3 linked regions of the Lepisosteus oculatus genome follow. The protein of the gene in region 1 interacts with the protein of each later gene in a biochemical or structural test. Links are inferred from orthologs where the notes say so. Each region holds a gene or a part of one and is shown in the gene's direction. Other genes may lie near its edges.

What was found. The genes of interacting proteins can lie anywhere in the genome.
Region 2: the proteins of cul4b (region 1) and dtl form a complex in vitro, tested with the Homo sapiens proteins (2 studies listed by BioGRID). The link is inferred for Lepisosteus oculatus from reciprocal best matches to the Homo sapiens genes CUL4B and DTL.
Region 3: the proteins of cul4b (region 1) and ambra1a form a complex in vitro, tested with the Homo sapiens proteins (2 studies listed by BioGRID, with this or other methods). The link is inferred for Lepisosteus oculatus from reciprocal best matches to the Homo sapiens genes CUL4B and AMBRA1.

The regions. Positions count from the first base shown.
Region 1 is NC_090703.1:50,357,234-50,364,455, reverse strand, and holds the start of cul4b (cullin-4B), read left to right. Parts: upstream 1-4,213; 5' UTR 4,214-4,436; coding exon 4,437-4,887; intron 4,888-5,703; coding exon 5,704-5,819; intron 5,820-7,222. Other genes in the region: mcts1 (malignant T-cell-amplified sequence 1), read right to left, coding at 117-250, 905-1,002, 1,641-1,793, 2,313-2,323.
Region 2 is NC_090697.1:46,095,411-46,102,253, reverse strand, and holds the start of dtl (denticleless protein homolog), read left to right. Parts: upstream 1-3,831; 5' UTR 3,832-3,944; coding exon 3,945-3,996; intron 3,997-4,829; coding exon 4,830-4,955; intron 4,956-6,432; coding exon 6,433-6,525; intron 6,526-6,843. Other genes in the region: ints7 (integrator complex subunit 7), read right to left, coding at 567-713, 1,578-1,707, 3,233-3,326. UniProt on the Homo sapiens protein: Substrate-specific adapter of a DCX (DDB1-CUL4-X-box) E3 ubiquitin-protein ligase complex required for cell cycle control, DNA damage response and translesion DNA synthesis.
Region 3 is NC_090716.1:4,948,792-4,955,661, reverse strand, and holds the start of ambra1a (activating molecule in BECN1-regulated autophagy protein 1A), read left to right. Parts: upstream 1-3,858; 5' UTR 3,859-4,245; intron 4,246-4,534; exon of another isoform or gene 4,535-4,789; intron 4,790-6,870. Other genes in the region: acp2 (lysosomal acid phosphatase), read right to left, coding at 1,985-2,110. UniProt on the Homo sapiens protein: Substrate-recognition component of a DCX (DDB1-CUL4-X-box) E3 ubiquitin-protein ligase complex involved in cell cycle control and autophagy.

The DNA.
Region 1 (7,222 bases):
GGATCCGCCACAGAGTGCCGGGCCAAGGGCACAGTCAGGGACAGGTGGGAATACAGGCCCCTTCTTTCTGATCGGGCACTATTTCCATTATGTAGGACACAACACTCCAAGGATACAACTACCTTGTCAGCTTCTGCAGGGTACAGCTTGGCTCCAGGGGACGTCAGCCCTGGGCACATGATGTTGGCTCCGCTCAGGACAAATTTAATGGCTCCTTTATCTACTTGCTGGTGTGGAAGAATAAAGGGATCTAAGAGAGCAAGGTAAACACAAAAGCACTCAGGTTAATATCCTCCACCCAGCAGTCAAATATGTAATTTGATGAAGGATGAGAAAAACAAACTATGGATCTTGTTTGCTACCATGAGATTAACTGACTATAGACCATTTCATTCAATATTATTTATCCATTCATTTTCGAACTGCTTCTTCCAATTCAGGGTGGTGGGGGAGCCAGAGCCTATCCCAGCCAGCCATGACTGCTGGGCAGGATACAGCCTGGGCAGGACGCCAGTCCATCTCAGGGCACTCACAGACACAAACGCAGACGCGTACTCCCACCAGGGCCCAGCGCTGTGATGCTACCCATAAATTCCAACCACTGCGCCACCATGCCACCCATGAAATACTTATATTAAATAGAAACAACATTGGATATAAAGACGAAACAGGAAGGAATGAAGAGAACAAGTAGGAAACGCATCACTGTCAGGAACACTTAAAGATCACAAAAAAGTCATGAAAGAGCAGACTGACTGAAAATGCAGAATTAAGAGCCACGTTCAAATCTTCAGTCTTCTCACCCTACATACAGCTCTGGAACTGCTCTGCTATCACATTACAAACAAACAACACCGGCCGTTTTCCTCTGAAGCCGTGAGAAAAGGAGCAGCCAAGAGCTTACATTTATGAAGCAGTCTCAGTGTGGGGTAGAACGGGCCCTCTCTCTGCCTGAAGAACAGCAGCTCCCCGTTCACAGTCAGGATTTCAATGTGCTCGTGGCTGCAAACGATCGAAACACCAAGTTCACGCAGCTGCACCCCACAAAGCGTCCCCTCATCGATCCGCACTGGTGCGGCCGGGTCCACGGCGCCCCTACGGCGCTCTCTTCCAACTGCTCACAGCCTGCTCGGTTCTCAGGCCTGCGAGTCTGCCTTCACGCTGGCAAGAGAGCTCCTGCAGCTGGCTGTGTCGGGGCAGGGAGTGCCATGGGGCAGGGGGCCTGCAGCCTCACAGACACCCTGAGAGAGAACTGGGCTGGGCACATAACTGCCAAGTCCACAGACCCGTCAGAGTGTGAGCAATTAAAAGAAAACCCGCATGCCTTTATTGGGTTTGCAGATGTGCTAACCTGCAGTAAGCAATACCTCTTTGCCTTCTGAAGCCTTCCCTGCATGATCCTTAAGCAAACTTTCAGTTCCCTTTCAAAACAGCAGAAGGCAACTAGGCTTTCTGCTTATCAGGCGTTGTCAGTCTAAGACAGATATATTACAGAAGTCACAGACAGCCAATCTTAATCTAAAAGGTGGTAAAACCTGTTTCTTTATCTCTTCCCCATGTTAGCTAAGATGCCCAAATCTGCTGGTTCTAGAGAGAATTAGACCACAATGAACACAGGGGTTCTCAGGTATGCGGATTACCATCGGACGATTTTGACAGGATCTTTTTTCGGCATGATCTGATTAAGCCATGAATCGATGTCAGGAAACTGCTCCAACAGCTGGTTCTTTATGCCTTTGATGACAGACGTCTTCAGCTGTATGCAATTGGAAACATTTTCCTTCTCGTCAAACCTGGAATGAGATTACAAAGAGGGGTTCAAAGCTGTGCGGTAAAATATGGGGGTAAGTGGCTCTACATCAGGAGGGCAAACCGCACCTTCTCAAGTCCCGGGGTAGCCTAGCTTGGAGAGTTGGATCTATGTAACATTAAAGTCTTATTTCGTTTTAAGAAAACAAGAATCCTGTATGACGGTAATAGAAAGCTGAGATAAAATGGATTTAAACAAAATATACTGTCTTCCTTAGAAACTCCCGTGCTTTGAAATGCGAGAAAAGATTTAGTCTCATCATAACACAAAAACATATGTAATTCAAGAAAATCTACTACAATGTAACACGTAACAGCGCATAGACAGAAGACTTTTACATATTTTTAAAAACACTACATAGGTGCAAGACAGTATTTTAAAAAAAGAACACTTGAAAGGCATAGAGACTATTATTAAAATGTTTCTGGACGTCACTGGCTCAGACCAACGGCTGCAAATTGAGACACAGACAAATCACTGCCAAAGAAACAAAACACCCAACTTTTTAAACATCCTCGGTCGTCACCCCTGCTGAATAAGCGAATTCTAACTGAAGCTCCTGGGCACGCAGTCTTCAGTAAATCATGTAAGTATAATTCAGTCTCCACGCTTGTTCTCAGTGTACCGCACACACAAGCTCTTCACGATTTTTACAGCAGAAGAGCTACGACTGCGCGACAGCGTCGATCGGTTTACGGCACCCGGCTTCTACCATAGAGTTCAGTTTCGGTTTCTAGAGGGATTTCCTTTTAGGGCATGTGTTCCTGTCTCACACCTCTTGTCCAGAGTTGGATCCCGCCGTGGGAGTCGTTTGTGTTGAAGTCTTTATGTTATCAACCCCTTGGCTATTAGTGAGTGCGTTTGTTTGGTTTCAGTAGCCCGAAGACATGCTGTCTGACACTTATTTAAAGTGTCTTCCGTCGGCGATGCGATGCACTGGGGTCCAGTCCGGTCTGTATCCTGCCTTGCAGGAAAATGTCTGGATGAATCCTGTATAATTAATCAAAGACTGAAACATTACAAAATACATACACAACTAATCAAACTATAATACAACCTACGTTATAGCAGCTCCGGTCGCAGAGCTAAGAGCAAACTAAGTACACTGGACAAAAGCGTCTAGCATGTATACCCTGTATTTTATTTATGTAAATACTTTTCAAAAATGATTTTTTTTTTTATCTGGTAAACAACATGCTATTGAGAAGTTGTGTGGTTGGTCTGCTCATTGTGTTGCTGAGAACTAATTTGCACTTATCTAATGATAGTAACCAACCTCTCTTTGTCCTGTTCTCCATTTGTGCCTTACCCACGGACTATCTTTTCGCCTATCATATGGTTCAAATGTGGTGTCATTTCTGCTTCAACGTCATAATTACAATTACAAAAACAAGGAATGTTTGCCTTTACATGCCAAATCCAGTACATATTCGACACAAGCAGAAGCGTGAAATGAGGTTTAAGACACATTTAACATTTTTCTCTGGGTTTGGTTCCGGCCTTGTGCACCTCCTGTGTGAAGTTTACATGTTCCTCCTGTGCCTGGATTTCTTCGACAACGCCGGTTTCCTCCCACCTTTTAAAATCCTTCAGTCCAGCTTACTGGTTTCTCTTAGCGATCACAGCGTGTTTGTGTCAGGCGATAGGCTGGCACCCTCTCAAAAAGAGCAGTCTCTCTTTAACACCCTGTCCTTCCGGAAAGGGATCCGCATTTCTTCGAGTCTGCGACACCTCCCAGGAATAATCTTGCCAAGACTGTTTTTATAATGAATGGATGTGCGAAACGTGTCTTGGTATTGAATAGCAGCAGAAAAAGGAATGAAATAAGGACTATACAATTTTTTTATTAATATTTCTTCCTTATAATAAAGACTTTTATTATAACGAAACCTTACTGAGTAAAGATGAATCAGGGGTAGCTAAGATATATATATATATTTGGGTAGCTGAGTTATTTAACCTAGCCCTAACCTCTCTGGTTATGCAATTAAGTTCATGTTCCACGTCATAATGGTTATGTACATTAACTTGTAACCTTTTCTTTTTTAGATTAAACGTGATCAAATAATAGCTTTTAAAATATAATACTAACCCGAAGGTGTTTTTTTTTCTCTTAAAAAGAAAACTTGAATCGAAACTTCAACTAGTTCAGACTGTCAGGGCGCCACCTGGGGGCTAAAGTCCAGAATACAAGTGGCCACTTTTCCCCCGATGCTTGCGATGAAAGACGGAAGTACTTCCGGTAGGTCAAGCTATGGTTATACTTGATTATAAGTTGGTATTCAGATGTGGGGCACATTAATCTCGAGAATACTACAGTCTCCAGGGATAGTCTAGGCTTCTGTGGCAGAAAACTCGACCATGGGGTTAAAAACGTTTTTCAGTCCGTGGAGTTCAAGTGCGCCCCGGAGGAAGTAGTTTCCAGCCATCTTTTTTTTTGCCAATAACAAGAAAGAGGATCTAAGAGTGGAGCAGTAGTCTCATTTTATTGTCTGTTTTCAATTAAAAAGAGACGAGAACGTGTGAAATAAGAGGAGTCGAAGCTCAAAGACACACGGAGCGTCAACGTCAAACCTGAAGGCTCTTAGGATTAACAGACTGGCTATTTGATTTTGTAATTTTTTTCATGTTTCCAACAGGTTTATCTACCCCTAATCCCCCACCGCCAGCTCAGGAGGTTAGACCAGCAGCTTCTGATGGTAATAACGGTAGCAGCAATAATTCAACGTCCAAAAAGAGAAAAATAAACAGCTCCGAAAAGGAAGACTTTGATTCCCTGTCTTCGTCTCCTCCCAAAAACATCAGTGCGTCCTGCTCCTCCGGGTCTCCCACCTCTCACCACATACAAAAGAAACTGAGGTTCGAGGACTCCGTGGATTTCATTGGGCTGAATGTGAAAATGGCTGAGGAGTCATCTTCATCATCTGCATCGTCCAGTAACAAGGCAAAAAACGCCTTTCTGGCCGCCGGGGTCGGACACCACGCTAACGGACTGACCAAAACCTCGACCGGTTCCGCCACCTTCTCCAACAGTAAACCCGGAGCTGCCAAGAAACTAGTGATCAAGAACTTCAAAGGTAACCTTCCTGCACGCCGGCCGCTGCCAACTCGCTGCCCCCTCTCCCCCAGGCCGAACCGTGCGATGACGAGCGGTGCTTGGCTCAAAGTCGGTGGAAGTTTAAATTACGGCATTTAATCATCACCCGTCTTACGTACTGAGGTGTTATTTAGATCTTTTAAGTGTTTCTCCTCTCTAAATGCGTCCGTTGGTCGTGGTGTAATTAAGAGCATCGGCAGATTTAAACAGGTTTGGGCTGCTACTGCTCCAGTGTTGTGAAGGTTCGATTACCTGTGTAAAACCTCAGAGGTGTTTTGCTCAGATGTTTGTTCCTATGAAAGCCTTCTGTTGATGCCAGATAGGCAGCCTTTACTCTAACGTTGTAAAGCATAGTTGTAGGAACCTGAGTAGAGTGAGCACGGGGCTCCCTAGCCTTTTAAATGGCTCGTTCTTAACGCTGTCAGTCATGGCAGACTTGCCTCAGTGAAACTACTACAGACTCGTACAGAATTCACTACAGTACAGCTCTGTGGGTGTCTGTAGCCATATTAATGAAACAGGCAGGTAACGTGCACTATTTTTCAAGTCCTCTCCTGCTTTTTCAAGATCACAGTCTGTATCGTTGTCTTTCCCTTTAGCGGAGAATTGAGCTCTGGGGCTCTGTTCCACATGCTGTATGCCTGTTAGGCGTGTTGCCGCTGTTGTCATTTACTTGCACTCACCTCATTCTGCGAGGCCACGTGTTGGGGAGCTGTAAATGAATGGCGAGCACCCCAGCACCACCCCGCACACTGACCTCAAGAAACCTCTCCATTGCGATCCTCCTCTTTTGCAGAAAAGCCCAAATTGCCAGAAAACTATACCAACGAAACCTGGCAGAAACTGAAGGGGGCAGTGGAGGCCATTCAGAACAGCACTTCAATCAAGTATAACCTAGAGGAGCTCTACCAGGTATGACAAACAGACTTTGTCCATTCCTGCTGCGGGCTGGTTGTGCAAGGAAGCCCGAGGCTTTGTGTCATTCGAACGACTGGGTTTAATTCATGTCTGTTCTCCTGGCTGCAAGCGTGTCGGTAAACTGTTTCCTTTGATTCCATTTCTTAGAGCATTAACACTAATCGCTGGTAACTGCTGGGGTCTGGCTGCCCTTGATCGGGACCAGCATAATCAGATTGCCCCAATTAAACAGGAAATTAACATAAAACTGCAGCCAGTTGCTGTCGTCTAGCACATCAGTAGTACAAGTAAAGGGGTTGTGGATGTTATAGATTAAAGAGCAAATTGTTTTCGGCTTTCACTGTGACCTATTCACTGTCCATTGAGAATGCAGACATCTTTGGTGTTTTTACTGAATTTATACATGGGATACAGGACTGTTGCTTTTTATATAATCTACTGAAGTTGGATGTGTAATCATTCTGTTGAATGAAATGGCTTGTATTTTGAAACTGGAATTGCTGATGGGAAGAGGCTGTTTTGTAGCCCTTAATGCATTTTTAGTAAGTTTTTGTTTCATGGAATGGTTGTGTGCATGTTTTTTGGATTAGAGACTTTTAAATTCATAGGATTGCTTATGTACAGAGTATGGTGTTACTGTGCAGTTGACTTGTGAATTATTATGAAATGAGATGGTTTGCTTTTAAAGACACCATATTCAATAATAAAGTGAAGGGCACCATATTCAGTGATAACAGGCTGTAGGTTGTATAAAAAGCTCATATCACAGTAGAAAAAAACAAAAATGTAGAGGATAAAACCATCGTGCGAAAAAGACATTCTACAAGCACCCAAAGTCCTGATTTCTGCTAGGATGATGTTCCAAGCTGCCCTGGAGCATAGCAACAAAAAAGTTTGTTGATCATAAAAGTGTAGATGAGCTGTGGGAACACAGTGAGACAGAGTCACCTGAGCAAAGAAATCGATACCATGTTTGCTAGATAAGGAGGAGCCATAACCTAAAGCCTTGAACGAAAGCAGACAGATTTTAAAATCGACTTGAAATGTGACAGGCAACCTGTGCACGGCTCCAGAATAGGAGTGATGTGATCACTTGCCTATGACCTCTTTAGGGTACTAGCTGCCAAATTCTGAATTTAAGTGCTGCTTATATCCATTTTATCTGAGAATGTGACCTCAAGAAATCTCACCACTGCAAGATATAAATGTGTAAACTGTATATACTCAAAATAACTTACTGCGAAAGCTGTGTGAATGCATGATTAAATTTGTTTCATAGAGTGCTTTTTGTATGCTCACCAATAATGTGAGTGAAATGGGTTTTTTCGTTGCTTAGGGGACTGCATCAGTTTTGTAGGTTCAGACATTAATTTTAGGCTAATGTAGTTTTTTGATGG
Region 2 (6,843 bases), on another chromosome or scaffold:
AAAACTCGAGTCACCATTGAAAAAAATCACCAAAACAGAAACAAGAGGCATAAACAGGGATACAATCATCACTTGACAAGGAAAACCCTTATTATAGTATATCATTCAGCACACAGAGTGTATTACTGCCATTTCCCTATCCATTTATTTAGTATAGGGTTGTGGGAGGAGCTGGAGTCTATCTCACTCCATCACAGGGCACACACAGACACAGACATGCACACACTCGCACCACGGCCAGTTTTCCCAGAAGCCAAATGAACCTACCAGTATGTCTTTGGACTGTGGAAGGAAACCGGAGCACCCGGAGGAAAACCACGCAAACACGGGGAGAGCATAGAAACTCCATGTGGAAATTAACCCCCTGCGCCACACCATGAGGAACTCAGTATCTGCCATACTTTTCTAAGCAATTTCTTGTTACAAATGCCTTAGTGAGGGATCTCTGAGTGTCATGTAACTGATCCACAGGCTTGCTCTGGTATCTTTCTTTGGAAAAAGGCCATGTTTGATGATCCCTTTAATTATATAATTCTTACTTAATTATCGTTTACAATTCTCGGTACCTGAGAGTGATGGCTCTGGCCACTGGATCATTGCTGTGAATGACGGAGAAAATCCTCTTGACAAACTCATCAACATTTAAGATTTTTTCCAGGTGCTTCTCACTCTGTTGAGTCACCTTCAGCACACAGAGCCGTAGAAAATTGTTTCTGTGACAGAAAGACAGAACAATTGGGAGATAATGCCTACTGTTCATAAAAACACAAAAACTAAGGGTCCATCTTATTTTAAGATGGTTAAAAAGTAGATGTTTGTGACATACACCCTAGTATCACATTCAATTGGGTTTTAACATTACAGAATTTTAAAACAAGTCAGAAAGGAATATGATAACATTTCTCATTCAGCTAAAAAAACACAAGTTACTTTTTATTTTTGAAAAACATGTAATGACTCATTGGAATGTAAGTAATATAATAATAAACTGTGACTGCCAGATGAGCCCTGTTGTTGACTGCACTTTCAAAATTTTACAGGAAACAAAAGAGACGACCCCTTCTCTTAGGAATTCAAGGGAACGAAGGTGACATTCAGAAATGATGCTGTTAGATTTTGTTTGTAATGTCAAATTCAGCTTTCGTAGAGTAGCATTGTACTACCATGCAGAAGTCACTGAGTATTCCGAAATCACTAATTTCTAAAGTCTGGGACCACCTGTACTTTTTGTTCAATTAGGCCAGTAATTTTTCCAATTAAAGGAACACTTGTCCTTCAGGACTGAAGAGTTTTGCTCCCAATAATCTTCATACTACTTAATTTAACAAATTATCTGTGACTGATCACCAGTTACGTTTTGCATGGCTTCAGAACATGGTGAGTTCATGCTGCCATACTGTATAAAACCTTCTCCATTGAGGCATGCAAAAACTAAAACAGCCTGAAAAATCACACTAAATGCAAAAATTGTTTGATTTTTTTTCAATTTAGCAAGAAACCCTAAGAAGCAACTCAGTTAAGCAGAGCAGTAAAAGACGAAGTGCTGTGCTTGGAGGGGAGCTCATTTCAACACATACCCCAGTCTGAAGATGTCTGCCAGTTTCAGAAAGGCGGAGTTGATCAGGATAGGGAACGGGTATTTCTGGAACAGCTTGGGAAAGAGCACCACAGCTTCACACTGTTCTCCAAGCTTGCCGGACCGCAGCCCTTCAGGGGGGGAACGATTTTTACAATACTGGTTAGTAAAAAAACTGTGCTGCTGCACATCTGAAGACTCCAACTTAGGATTTCATACAGTAAATAACTTAAGATGAAAGAATTCAGGTGATACAACAATCTTGCAGTCTTTACAAGGATTGGTGCAGGATCTAAAAAGGATTTAGTGTATGTATATATGATTCAATGACATATACAGAAATACACAGCTAATGGAGGAAAAACAGAACTCATTCATTACATTAATTAAGCAATTAACAACCCAGCGTTCTTAGAGTCATGTATAGAAATGCTGGACAGGCCTGGTTGGCCTTTATTATAACTTCAAGGGGAGACATCAGTGACTTTGAAGGGGTGTTTAGCAGAAACTTAAGTGATCAAGAGTCATAGTGTCTAAGCTGATTTCAGCATGGAACCCAATAGAAAAGACATCTTCGGTCAGTCCTAACAATGGGTCAGTATACTCCAGGATGGTAATATCCAAGCATTAATCAGAACTACAAATTTCATCCTGGGGCACAAGCAGCCAGTTTAATCAAGAGAAATGCTGAGAAATCCACACAGCAGGATCATTTAGACGGGTTGCACAGCGCAAATCACTCATTACCTCTTGTAACACACGCCTGTAAGACTAGTGGTGCAAAGAGCACAGCAAATGGACTATCAAGTACTAGAAAAAGGTCATTTGTTTAGATAAATCGTTCTTCACCATTTTTGGCACCATCCTATAGAACTCTACAGCCCTGGGTACAGTAATGTTAAGGGGTACATTTTCCTGCCACAGTTTAGGTGAACTCCTTCCCTTAGAAGGTAAGGTTAATGTAACCACTACTTAATGGCACTGAGTGATCACCTTCACCCTGTGTTGCAGAATTTCTTCCCTGCCTGGAGGGGAGTCTTCCAGGATGTCAATGCCCTTAGCGCACGTGGTCACCCAGTGTTTTGATGAAGGTGACACTGCTGTTTTCCACATCACATGGCCTTCTCTGTTACCTGATCCAAACTCTACCAAGCATTTATGGGATATTCTGAACCGTGGGGTGAGATAGTGTTTTCCACTTCCATTAACCAGGTGAGAGTTGATTGGCTTTCTCGTGGAAGAATGGTGCTGCATCCCTTCTGCAGAATTGCATGGCACATTCGTGCATTCATTCCACTGGGTTGTGCATATTCTGTCTACTATCTGTATATACATAATATACTGTATATGTTACGATTTAGATTACACCATATAGCGCAGCAATCACTGAATAATAAGGACTGAACAAATTCGTCTCTCTCAGTAAAATGATTAATCATTGATCCAACAATTAGTTTAACTGCCTAATCTATACTGTGAGCAGCAGAGTCACAGTGGAACGGAAGAACCAAAACGGCCTAGGCTGGTGTTTACATGAATCCACCAAAACAAAGTATTTTTATTACAGAACAGCAGCACCCATGAACGACCTCTTACATTTTTAACAGCTCGAAGCTCAAAGCATTGCACGCGTTTTACTCAGGTGTGTGTAACTACCTTTGTCCAGCTCCATCAGAGCAGAATTGGCATCTAATTCTTGCTCCCCGTAACCAGCTTCTGACAAGAATGATCGCGCCGTTGTTAAAGACATGATTCCTAGACTGAAAGTCAAATATAGTCAACAATTTTCTCTATTACAATATACGTTTGAGAATCTGATTTTAAAAAGGACTTTTCAATTAAAACACAATCATACTGCATACATGGCACAAAAGAAACTGCTACATCCCAGCAGTGCAAAGCGGCAGGAAGTGACATAAACACTCGACTACCCGCCCATGACGTAAACGTGCTGCCGCCACTAGGCCGCAAGAAAGGCGCAATAACGTGACATCAGTGGATATTCAAAATGCTAGATGACCGGGAAGTTTTGGTACCTGTTTGAGGAGGTAATATTTTCTGTAGGTTATGGGAGAGGGTTGGGATCTGTACTTTATTGAGTAGTTAATCTGGATCCAGGTATCTCTGACTGGTACTCGCTTTGTTACGCAGAGTGGGTGGAGTCTGACCACTCTGTGCTTTCTTGACCAATCATGTAGCGAAACGTCATTTAGGCGGGTGTTTCGTATTCTTTTTTCATTTCTGAGTTCGCGGGAAAGGGTACTTGTGTATTTCATTAGGAAGAGATACACAGCTAGTGGTGCTGCATTGTGAAATTTAAATCCATTTAATTTGCAATTGAGTTTTAAACACAATAACAAATTGCAAGATGCTATTTCGTTCCATTGTTGATAGAGGAGTTCTCAGAAGGAGGCACAATGGTAAGTTAAATTAGCTGCTAGGTGATGATTTAATATAGAGTACTGGCTCTCTAGTCAATTAATCTTCAAAACTGGGGGAGGAATGCGTTAGATCTTCACATTTTGCCTCTTAAATACCTTGCATAGTATTTGAATCAAGACTTATTTAAAGAGAGAAAGTAAAAAGATCGACCATTTCTTGTTTAACTTGTTTCTTTTGGGGGGCGTTCTGAAATTAGCTTTTGTGTCTATTTATGCCATTATCTTCTAATTATGAGGTGATCAACGCGGATGAATATATTTAAAGTGCTTTTCATTCATTTTATTTTTCCTAAAGTAAAAGGATTCGCTTTTGCTGCTCAAAATGGTGCTCTTTCTTCCTCTACGGTGGGGTGTTAAAATGTAAAGATGAGGGGGTTGGGTGGGAAACACGCTTCAATACGATTCATTTTCGGTTTTTCTCTGTGTGAAACCATCTAAAATCAGCTTCTTAACTCATCGGTTTCGAGAAAGCAATACCAAAATCCATTATATTGATGATATTGGTGATCGCGATGTGGACACGGAAGCTTTTATCAATGCGATCAGTATTTCTAAAACAGAGGCCACACTGTAAAACGGCGTTTAGACCAATGAAACTTTTAGGATTCATTGAATTTATTTATGAAACTCTTAACTGTTCTATTTAACGTTAAACTATATTTTAAAGGATTTAAGCAAAATCGCGTACGAAGTAGATCGTAGAAACTTACACTCTGACGGAGTTTTTTAAATGAATAGATGTGGACGGGAGCGGTCGCGCGGGCTTAATTTAACAAGAATGAATGAACTCTCAACACTGTTTTCCCTTACAGGGCCGGAGCGTGTGTATCCGCTTTCCTCCCTGTTAGATTGTTACCAGTGTGCTAGACAAGATGAGCACATCTCGTATGGCGATATGGGGGTTCCAGTTCCTCCCTTCGGATGCACGTTTTCTACAGGTAGAGGATCGCCAAAAAGTCTATTTGTGTTTTAGCCTGTTACAAGCTAAATATGATGTGGATTGAAATAAATCGCCCTCATCTTAAATCCTCACTTTTTGCTCATTTCCTTATTTGGTTTGATATTAAATCCAGTAACGTGACTGGGTTTTTTCTTTAAATCCCACTCTGTAGCTTTACCTGTTGAGGGCACCTCGTTTGAGTTCTAAATTGGAAGAATGGATTTGGGGATTATCTTCGATCCTGCTTCATTTTGAAACCCATGTAGCAGATATAAAAAGTCTACACACCCTTACTGAAATTACAGGTTTTTGTGATGTAAAGCCAGAAATCAAAGAAAAATTATGTCAGACATATTTGCGTCTTTAATGTGACCTTGCACCCAACAAAACTCAAGAGAAAAACAAATGGATAATTATTAGGAAAAATAATTTAAATAAAAAATAACTGCTTTATGCACAGTGCTTGTTTTTCCTTCTTAGAAATGTTCTAGGTTACCTCCTAAGGTGTCCGCTCTTTAGAGGGGGTTGGGGAGGATGTTTCTGCATTTCTTTGTGCAGGAATCTCTAGGCTACTCTTAAATTACAGTAGGTTCAAAATTCGGAAGCTAAATCCCGACTAGGTCACTTACAAATGATCTTGTCACGTCACTCCTGTTTTGGAGTGTTTGGATTCCTGTTCCTGTTAATTTCCAAATCCTTCTTACCTTCATTAGTCTACATGGTGCGACCCTCTGGTATCTAGTCAGTATCTATACCCTTTTCCTCCTTTCCACTCTTTTTGACTTGGATCTTTTTTGGTGTTTCTGTGGTTCATCTACACTTTCGGGGTGATACCACATTCTGTCGCTATGCTCTGGAATACCATCTATGAGTAATGCAGCAACATTTTAGTGCTTTTAATTCTAGTCTAAAACCTTATTTTTCTGAAAAACATTGTCACTGTTTTATATTCTTTATCTCCTTCGTTTTTTGGCTTTGTGATTTGACCTTATTGTGAAATGTACTTTTTATGTATTGTAAATTCCGAAATTACTTTTTAACACAACTATGTTAAAGCTTGTTATATAGATGTCAGGTATAGGTGTTTAGCTTTGTTTAGTCTTTATCAGAGGCGTTTAAAGAGCAAATTACAACTAAATAAGGATGAGTTAAGACGAACATCATCTTTTATACAGCTGAACAGTTTACATGTCTTATTAAAGGACTTTTATGTCTAGAAAGACACGGCAAGTTAATGGCTGTTGACAAACAGCACACTGTTCTGTAAAATTAATTTGGTGTTGACTGGAGTTCATCTGCTTGTGAGATTTCTTTTCTGAAAATTGTGAGTTAGCAGTAATTTTTACAAAATTGCTTAGTGTCAGATTTAAGACGTGAAAATGGATTCTGTTACTCGTAGTTAGTTCCTCTGGTGTTATACACAGAAAACTTTTCTCAGGATAATTGTCGCTGTAACGTGGGTCTCTGTTCACTAGCTCCAGGCCTGCAGCAGATCCTGGCTGTGGCAAACGAAGAAGGTGTCGTCAGGCTGTACGACACAGAGTCACGCAGGCGTCCACTTTTGAAAGGTAAAGAGTGATTGAAAGGGTCTCCATTTATCTGAATCAACTCTGCTTCTTTGCTTGATTCCCCCCCCCTCCCCCCAGTCATAACATCGTCATACAGCACAAGCCTTTGCTTATAAAGTTTCCGTCTAACAGACCTAAAGTGGAATGAACTACGACTGTTGGAGCCATTGTCCTCCCTGTTCCAATACCTTGCAATACCTTATTGCCACACTTCACTTCCTGAAAAGATCCTGATGTGAATAGTGTCCCCTAAGATGTGAGCACTCGTCACTTTTCCACACAAAAGAAAAACACCAGACCAGGAGGTGTTTAGTAAAG
Region 3 (6,870 bases), on another chromosome or scaffold:
CTCCCCATCATCATTAATGACCCCCCAATGGTCACATAGGGTGACAAATTTCTTCAGATTTCTGGTGACACACGTAAGTGAAAACCTCAAAGGCAGCACCAACACAGATCACATAGTGAAGAGGGTGCAGCAGAGGAGGTACTTTCTCGGGTTGCTTAAGAAGCACGGAGTGAGCCCCCAACTTCTTCCCCCAGTTTGACACAGCCAGAATTCAAAGTATTGTGACAGGTTGATCGGTTTGGTATGGGGAGCTTGTACAGCCATACAAAAGAAACTGGAAGGGACCAAAACTGCGAAAATAGGCTATGAACTCTCTTCCATTTCATCCCTTTACACAAGCCATACCTTCAGCTGCGCCTACAAGACCAGCTCAGAATCTTTTTTCAGCTCCTGCCTTTGGGAAAATGCTTTCAATCGATCCTCTGAGGTGCTGCTTGCTTCAACGTTAGCTTCTTTCCAACTGCCAGGTGAACTTTGAACTCTCCCCCTTCAGCTAATTACCTTCAGCATCTTTTACAATTGTTTGCCAAAAGTAGGGTTAATGTTTACATGTGCATGTGACTGTGTTTTTCCCCCATTTCATTGATTTTTGTTTAATATGGTGTGTGTTGGAGGGCTGCTTCATCAGTGTGTACTTGCTGTGTTGTGTGGAAATTGTTTTCAATCAGATAACCTCACATTCTGTGTCATGTTAATGTTAGCAAGCACACCACACCGGGTCCAAATCAGGTAATTCAGGTAACAGCAGAAGAGGCAGAACAATAACAAAAGAGAATTCATGCCTTGAGGTAGAATATTCACAGACAGTAGATTTTACTCCATGTCAGCACGTTACAGAGTGTAACACAAACACAAATGTAAGGCCTATGGATGCAGATATTTTACAGTTTATCTGACAGACAGTAACACTCATCACCATACTTAAAGTGACTCAATGTGACTAAAGATTTGACTGTGTCTGTGCATGACTTATTCTGCATTTCAGTATAGAAAGGCCACTGTTATTGACTGCTTTTTGCAAAACGCACAGACACAAGAAGCACCCATTTGCTTCACCCATAAATTGCAGTTTTGTAAAGAACTGTGGAACTTGAGTTCCACTGTACTGAATGTACTGTAGCGAATGTTGCAATAAACACAGAGAGTCTATGCCCCTGATCATGATCCATGCTAATGTTCCGGGTTTTATATGGTACCACTGAATCATCAAATTCTAAAGACCAAATACAATTTAATTGTGATCAATTAAACTGGTGATTTATTGAGTGATATGGCGATCATTCAGAACAGACATCTGAACACCCATTCTGAAAAGACAATTTCCCTTAATTGAATCAATAACTTCCATAAAAACACAAGACCATAAAAAGTGTTCTGTAACAAAACAGGTAATTTAAGATGACCCAAAACTGAATTGGAGGGAGACCCCTGCTGAACAATACCAGAACCTCGAAAATACCATATACTTTTCAATGTGTTTTAAAGAGTTGCATACAATTAAACGGTTTTTGTTTACTTTCCCTCAACGGAATTACTATTTACGCAGTTCGTTGTATAACAGGTTTACTCGATTCATCCAACGTTATGTTGAGTTTAAATTACAGCAAGTGCATAGCAAGAAGAAACAGATAGTAATGAAAAACAATATAAGAATATAAAATACGACGACAGAAAAATCATTATTTATATTGGCAAAGTTAAAGTTCTTCTCATGCACAGGTGCGTTACCGAAACCATGACATGTTTTTATTCTGACTTACGTTTACAGGATCAGTGCAGCCTGAATATTATTTGCATAAAACGCCGCACCCGGATTTCCATGAAACTTCGCCTTAAATGTTGTGTTAAAGGACAGTTCGCCGACACAAGGGCGAGCTGGACGGTGCACAGATCGATAACCCTGAAGACACAAAGCACACCGGATCTGCACTCTTTACTACCCTCCGACCAAGTTATTAATCGAAATCCAGGGACACCGGCTTACCAGGGTGACGAATTTCAGTTGCCTTTCTCCGACTGCCGTGTGCAGTACGATCGAGACTGCTAACAGCAGCACGACAAGAGACAGAGACCTGCCAGACCAAGAGGAACAAGGGACCCCACACGCCATCACCGCACCACTCAGGAGAAAATAAAAAAAACAACCGGCCGGGGACCGAAGGGTGTCACGGCACAGGGAGGGGCCGACGTGTTTACGTCACATTACGAAGCGTCCATTCATACCGTAGAAAATAGAAGTGATCTACGATGTAACGTCACAATCGTATGTAAATTTGCCGCCATGTTGGTAGGGCGGAAGTGAATGAATGCCGGCAGTTCCGGTTCGTATATTGCGAAAGCAAGGCTAGTGTGAACTGAGATTAGAAGTATTTTGATTAGCAGATTAAAAGGTTCTCAACTATATATAATATTAAAATATCTGGATAAGGTAGTTTGAAATTTCGGTACATTAATCGATAAATGTATTGGTATTTATGGGCTTAACTGCAAATGTGATTGGATGCATGTTGTGTTATTAGATGGATTATCAGGTGGGGCTGCACATTGGTGGTGGTGGAGGGGATCCCCATTACCTGTAAAGCGCTTTGAATGGAGTGTCCAGAAAAGCGTTATATAAGTGTAAGCAATTATTATTATTATTATTATTATTATTATTAATAATAATATTTCGTGTCCTAGTGTTACAAGCATTGGATCGCCTTAACACTACAGCACAAACATCTTATTTTGTATTGCAACCATTATAAACAAACAAAGCAGACTTAATATTGTTTTCTCTTGCACCGCTACATATGAACTTTATACAGATTTATAATTTATATTAAAGAAATTCCAAAATTACACAAAATATATTAGTGGTATATTGTCTTCTATGTAATTGCACTACTGATTTTGTATAACATTCACCTGGTAAATTGCAATTGTTTCGTGAGCAAATATATGATAACTGATATAGTAAATGATATGTAAATAAAGAGTATTGAGTAAAATGGCTATTTTTTGTTGTAAGAGCGTGACTGAATGACCCTTGTCCGCTCTCCAAACAGAAAGGGTGCAATCTAGCGTCGCAGCAAATGCTATCGACGACGGTATTCTCACAACAAATGTATTATTACCTTAAAGCAAACAAAAATACATATTTGTCCGCCCCTTACCCTATGTTAAAAACATCCAATCAATCGCACATTATCAAGGGGATTTCGTTTTATTTAACAAACACAAAATCCCCCTCAGCTATAAAGAAGGAAACAAAAAGCCTACACCAATACAACACTGAAATGTACTGCAAAGAAAAATATTTTTCTTTCTGTTCATACCAATTTAAAATGGTAAACACTTGCCGAATGCAGAAGGCGTCTGCACGACGTATGGCGTACACAAATCAAAGGAAAACTTAATTCGCCAAAGTTTAGTATAAGTATGTTATTTCTGCTTTTTATTGTTTTTGGTGCTTCATTTTTGAGTACTTCTATTAGCTACAACCTACCAGATTTATATTTTGCAACGATGTATGTACAGTATATTTTGTACAGATTAAATATTTTTTTCTCATCCCATCAACCGCACGTTAACATACAGTACAGTAACTGCAATGAAGTGCATTCAGTAGATTGGGATTAAAATATAATTTAATTTAAAGCGAGTACGCGTCGCCGCGTATGCTTCGAGAGCTCACATTATGACGATACCCGATTTATCCCCCTATATATTAATATTGTGCATAAAGATATTTGTGATCCCTGAATATTTTTCGAAATGTGATAAAAATGCACAGATCTGCATCGTCAGCTACATCATTACCACCTCGGGCTGCCCTTTCTGACTGAGCTGCTGGACAAGCAGGCCAGTAGACAGGGATTACGGAGGCACCGTGGGGCTATCAGTGACCGTGAAAGACTTAACAAAGATCCGAGTCTGAGATGGGAGTCGCTAATCATACACTGACGATATCCAGTCCTTAGGCAAGGCCTTTATGAATAAGAAGCACGAAGGAAGCGTGTACTGAAAACACTTGATCTTCACTCTCCTGTGAAAGATACCACAGACACAACAGGAGGTTTTACAGTCAAATGAGGCAAAAACGTCCATTTATGTCCGAAAACAAAGTATAGCGTCTAGCAGAGTACATCGCCCAATCAGAACTGTCAAGCACGTTGGTGGCAGGGCTGTGTTTTGAGGATAGTTGTGATCAGCAGAGACTCCTGGAAACATGCCAGGATTCAGGAAGGAAGGTGCAAAGTAAAGGTAAATCCCAAAAGAAACCCGTCGTCAGACACTTAAGAATCTAAAACTGGGTCAAAAATTCACATTTCACCAAGACAATAACCCGAGGCACAAGGCTGTAAACCTGAAATGATCTGACAAAAAGAGAGTGAATATCCTTGTGTGGTACGGGCAGACTCAGAGCTTGATTCTATTAGAAAATTGCATTAATCAAAATGCTGAATTTTTGCAGGGGCTGAATACTTTTGCAAGGAGCCGTGAACCCTCCTCGTCAACGAGCGATCCATGCTCTCGGTTTTCGATTAGCTAGATATCGCTGATCTGTGAGCCGCTTGTTCTGGCTGCCTATTTGAATGTATTTTGTGTTCTGTGTGCACAAGCTGTAACCTTAATGTTTTTTAAGAAAACATTTTTTAAAATCGCTGCCGCAGTCGATATTAATATAATCAATGCAAGCCAGGGTAACCCGTTTTTATCCAGTCGTATCAGAAGAGAGATTTTAGCTGCATTTACAGGTACCCTGCGTCTTGGAGAAACTCGCAACAAAAATACAGGAAAAAAAAAGGTAGGCCTAGGCCTTCGGGTGTGTTTGTGTTATTTCCTTATTTAAAACATATCTTAATGGCCGTTTGCGTGTATTATTAATGATAATATAGTGTTGTGTCACCGGGAGCGATTTAGAATCGTTTTTTAGATTCAGTTAGGAAATTTTAGGAGTGTGGAATCCTGTTCCAATTTTCCTGTTGACGTTGGAAGTTTTTTTTAAATAAAAATGTAAAAATAAACGCCTCCCTTTAAATCGCGATATCTTTTCTGATTTGTGTTGAGCTCAAATGACATTTTTATGAAGGGTGTATAATTTCCGATTCTGGCTAGAATTAGATAAGTGTTGTGAGAGCTAAGCTGGTGCGGTGCTCACGAGTTAACTGTGGAATGGAGACACAACTGAACAATTGTATTGGAATTTAAAGACTCCGTATTCACAATTGATTTCTTTGTACCATGTTGTGCAACTGTCTCTGATAGTTTTCCAGTTTAATTTTGATGTAATAAATACGCAGCTCGTGGGTGAAGTGAATTGGTATATCACTATCACTCCTTTCAACTGTCCTCTCGTATAGCAAACCATAGGAACACCCAGCATAACACTTCCCTGCTTTTATTTCTTTTTAAAATTGTGCTAAAACATATCGGGAATCACGCATTTGTTTTGTTTTAGATCACGATCCGATGCCGTTGTTTGTGCTTTGCGCAGTTGTAGTGCATGCAAGTTTTCGTTTTTTGAGCGTTGCTCTCAAAGCTGTTCTAAAACGTTCTGCGTTTCTTGACTCGTTTAAAAAAAAAAAAACTCCGTCCTCATTTTTGTTTGGTGTCATGACGTGTTGCCAAAGTTTGTCGGCACATTTAAAGGCTACATTTGTGCCGAGATTGAGATTGTGTGAAAGGCACTATAGTGTGGTAGGCCCCATCGTTACATATACGTGGCAAAAAAGTAACGAATTGCACGCCATGGGCGATGTGCTAAGTTTGACAGGTGTGCATAAAATCGGTCCTTTTGCATTCATATCAGAAGTAATTTAAAATAGTTTGCATAATTATTTGCCCGTACATAGAAATACAAAATATTAAATCATGTGCAGTGCGGTTCAGTTTATTGCTAAATGTACTATGAAATCATGGAATACATTTCCTTTAAAAAAATCTCGGTGTTATCACCTAATATACTATATATTTTGTGAGGAAGAAACTCAATGCGAACCCAATGTCAAATGTATAGGGTGAGCATAAATGTGCTTTTTTTTTTGCTACACCAAATCACTCTTCTAGCCATTGATGGGGTCAGTATTGTGCTTATATGGAAGAGTGTGTTCGGACCATTACTTAGAAAATAAACTAGTTAGTTGTACTGTGTGCTGGTATTAAGGGTTAGTTTTGCTCGTACTTGGGTTTGTGGTAATCGCTTTTGTTATAGCTGATTCAAAGCTGAGCTGTGTATAAATCACTAGATCACTAGCTGTTTATTTCTTGTATTGGTGGAGGAAAGGATTAGGGTGGCACTTTTGTGTGCTTCGTAGTGGGTTTAAAAAATAAAAAGATATAACAGCCAAAGGATTGAAGAAGGTGTCTGGGCTATCAATGTGTTGTAAATCCAATTAGGGGACTGTGTGTCTTTTCCTTTTAGCCCAGAGCTGTTCATAAAGCCATGCAATTTGCTGGATTATTGCGTGAGATGCTGGCAGACCACTTCAGGATTACTCTCTGCCAAACAGACAAGTTTCCAAGAACAACCTCGCTTACCCTCTGCGGGCTTCAGCAAACTCTGTGATAGTGGCATGTACACAGGCAAATTGCCCGTATATTATCTTAACATGCCTTTTTGCTTATGGTTTCACTGCCAGTGCAGAGGAATATTACCCAGAATCTCAGTCATCAGTACATCTGAAAAACTGTACTGTGTCACAACAACAGTCCAGTCTCATCTGGATCACAGGCATTGAGTCAACCATTTTTATCTTCTTTTTTTCAAAATCATAACCAATCTGTTCAACATGGTCCACATGTTCACATGTCACACTGGTGACTTTGTAATCATCTTTGATGATCAGTGTATTCCCTTTTAAGTTCTGCTGTATGATAAGCACATGC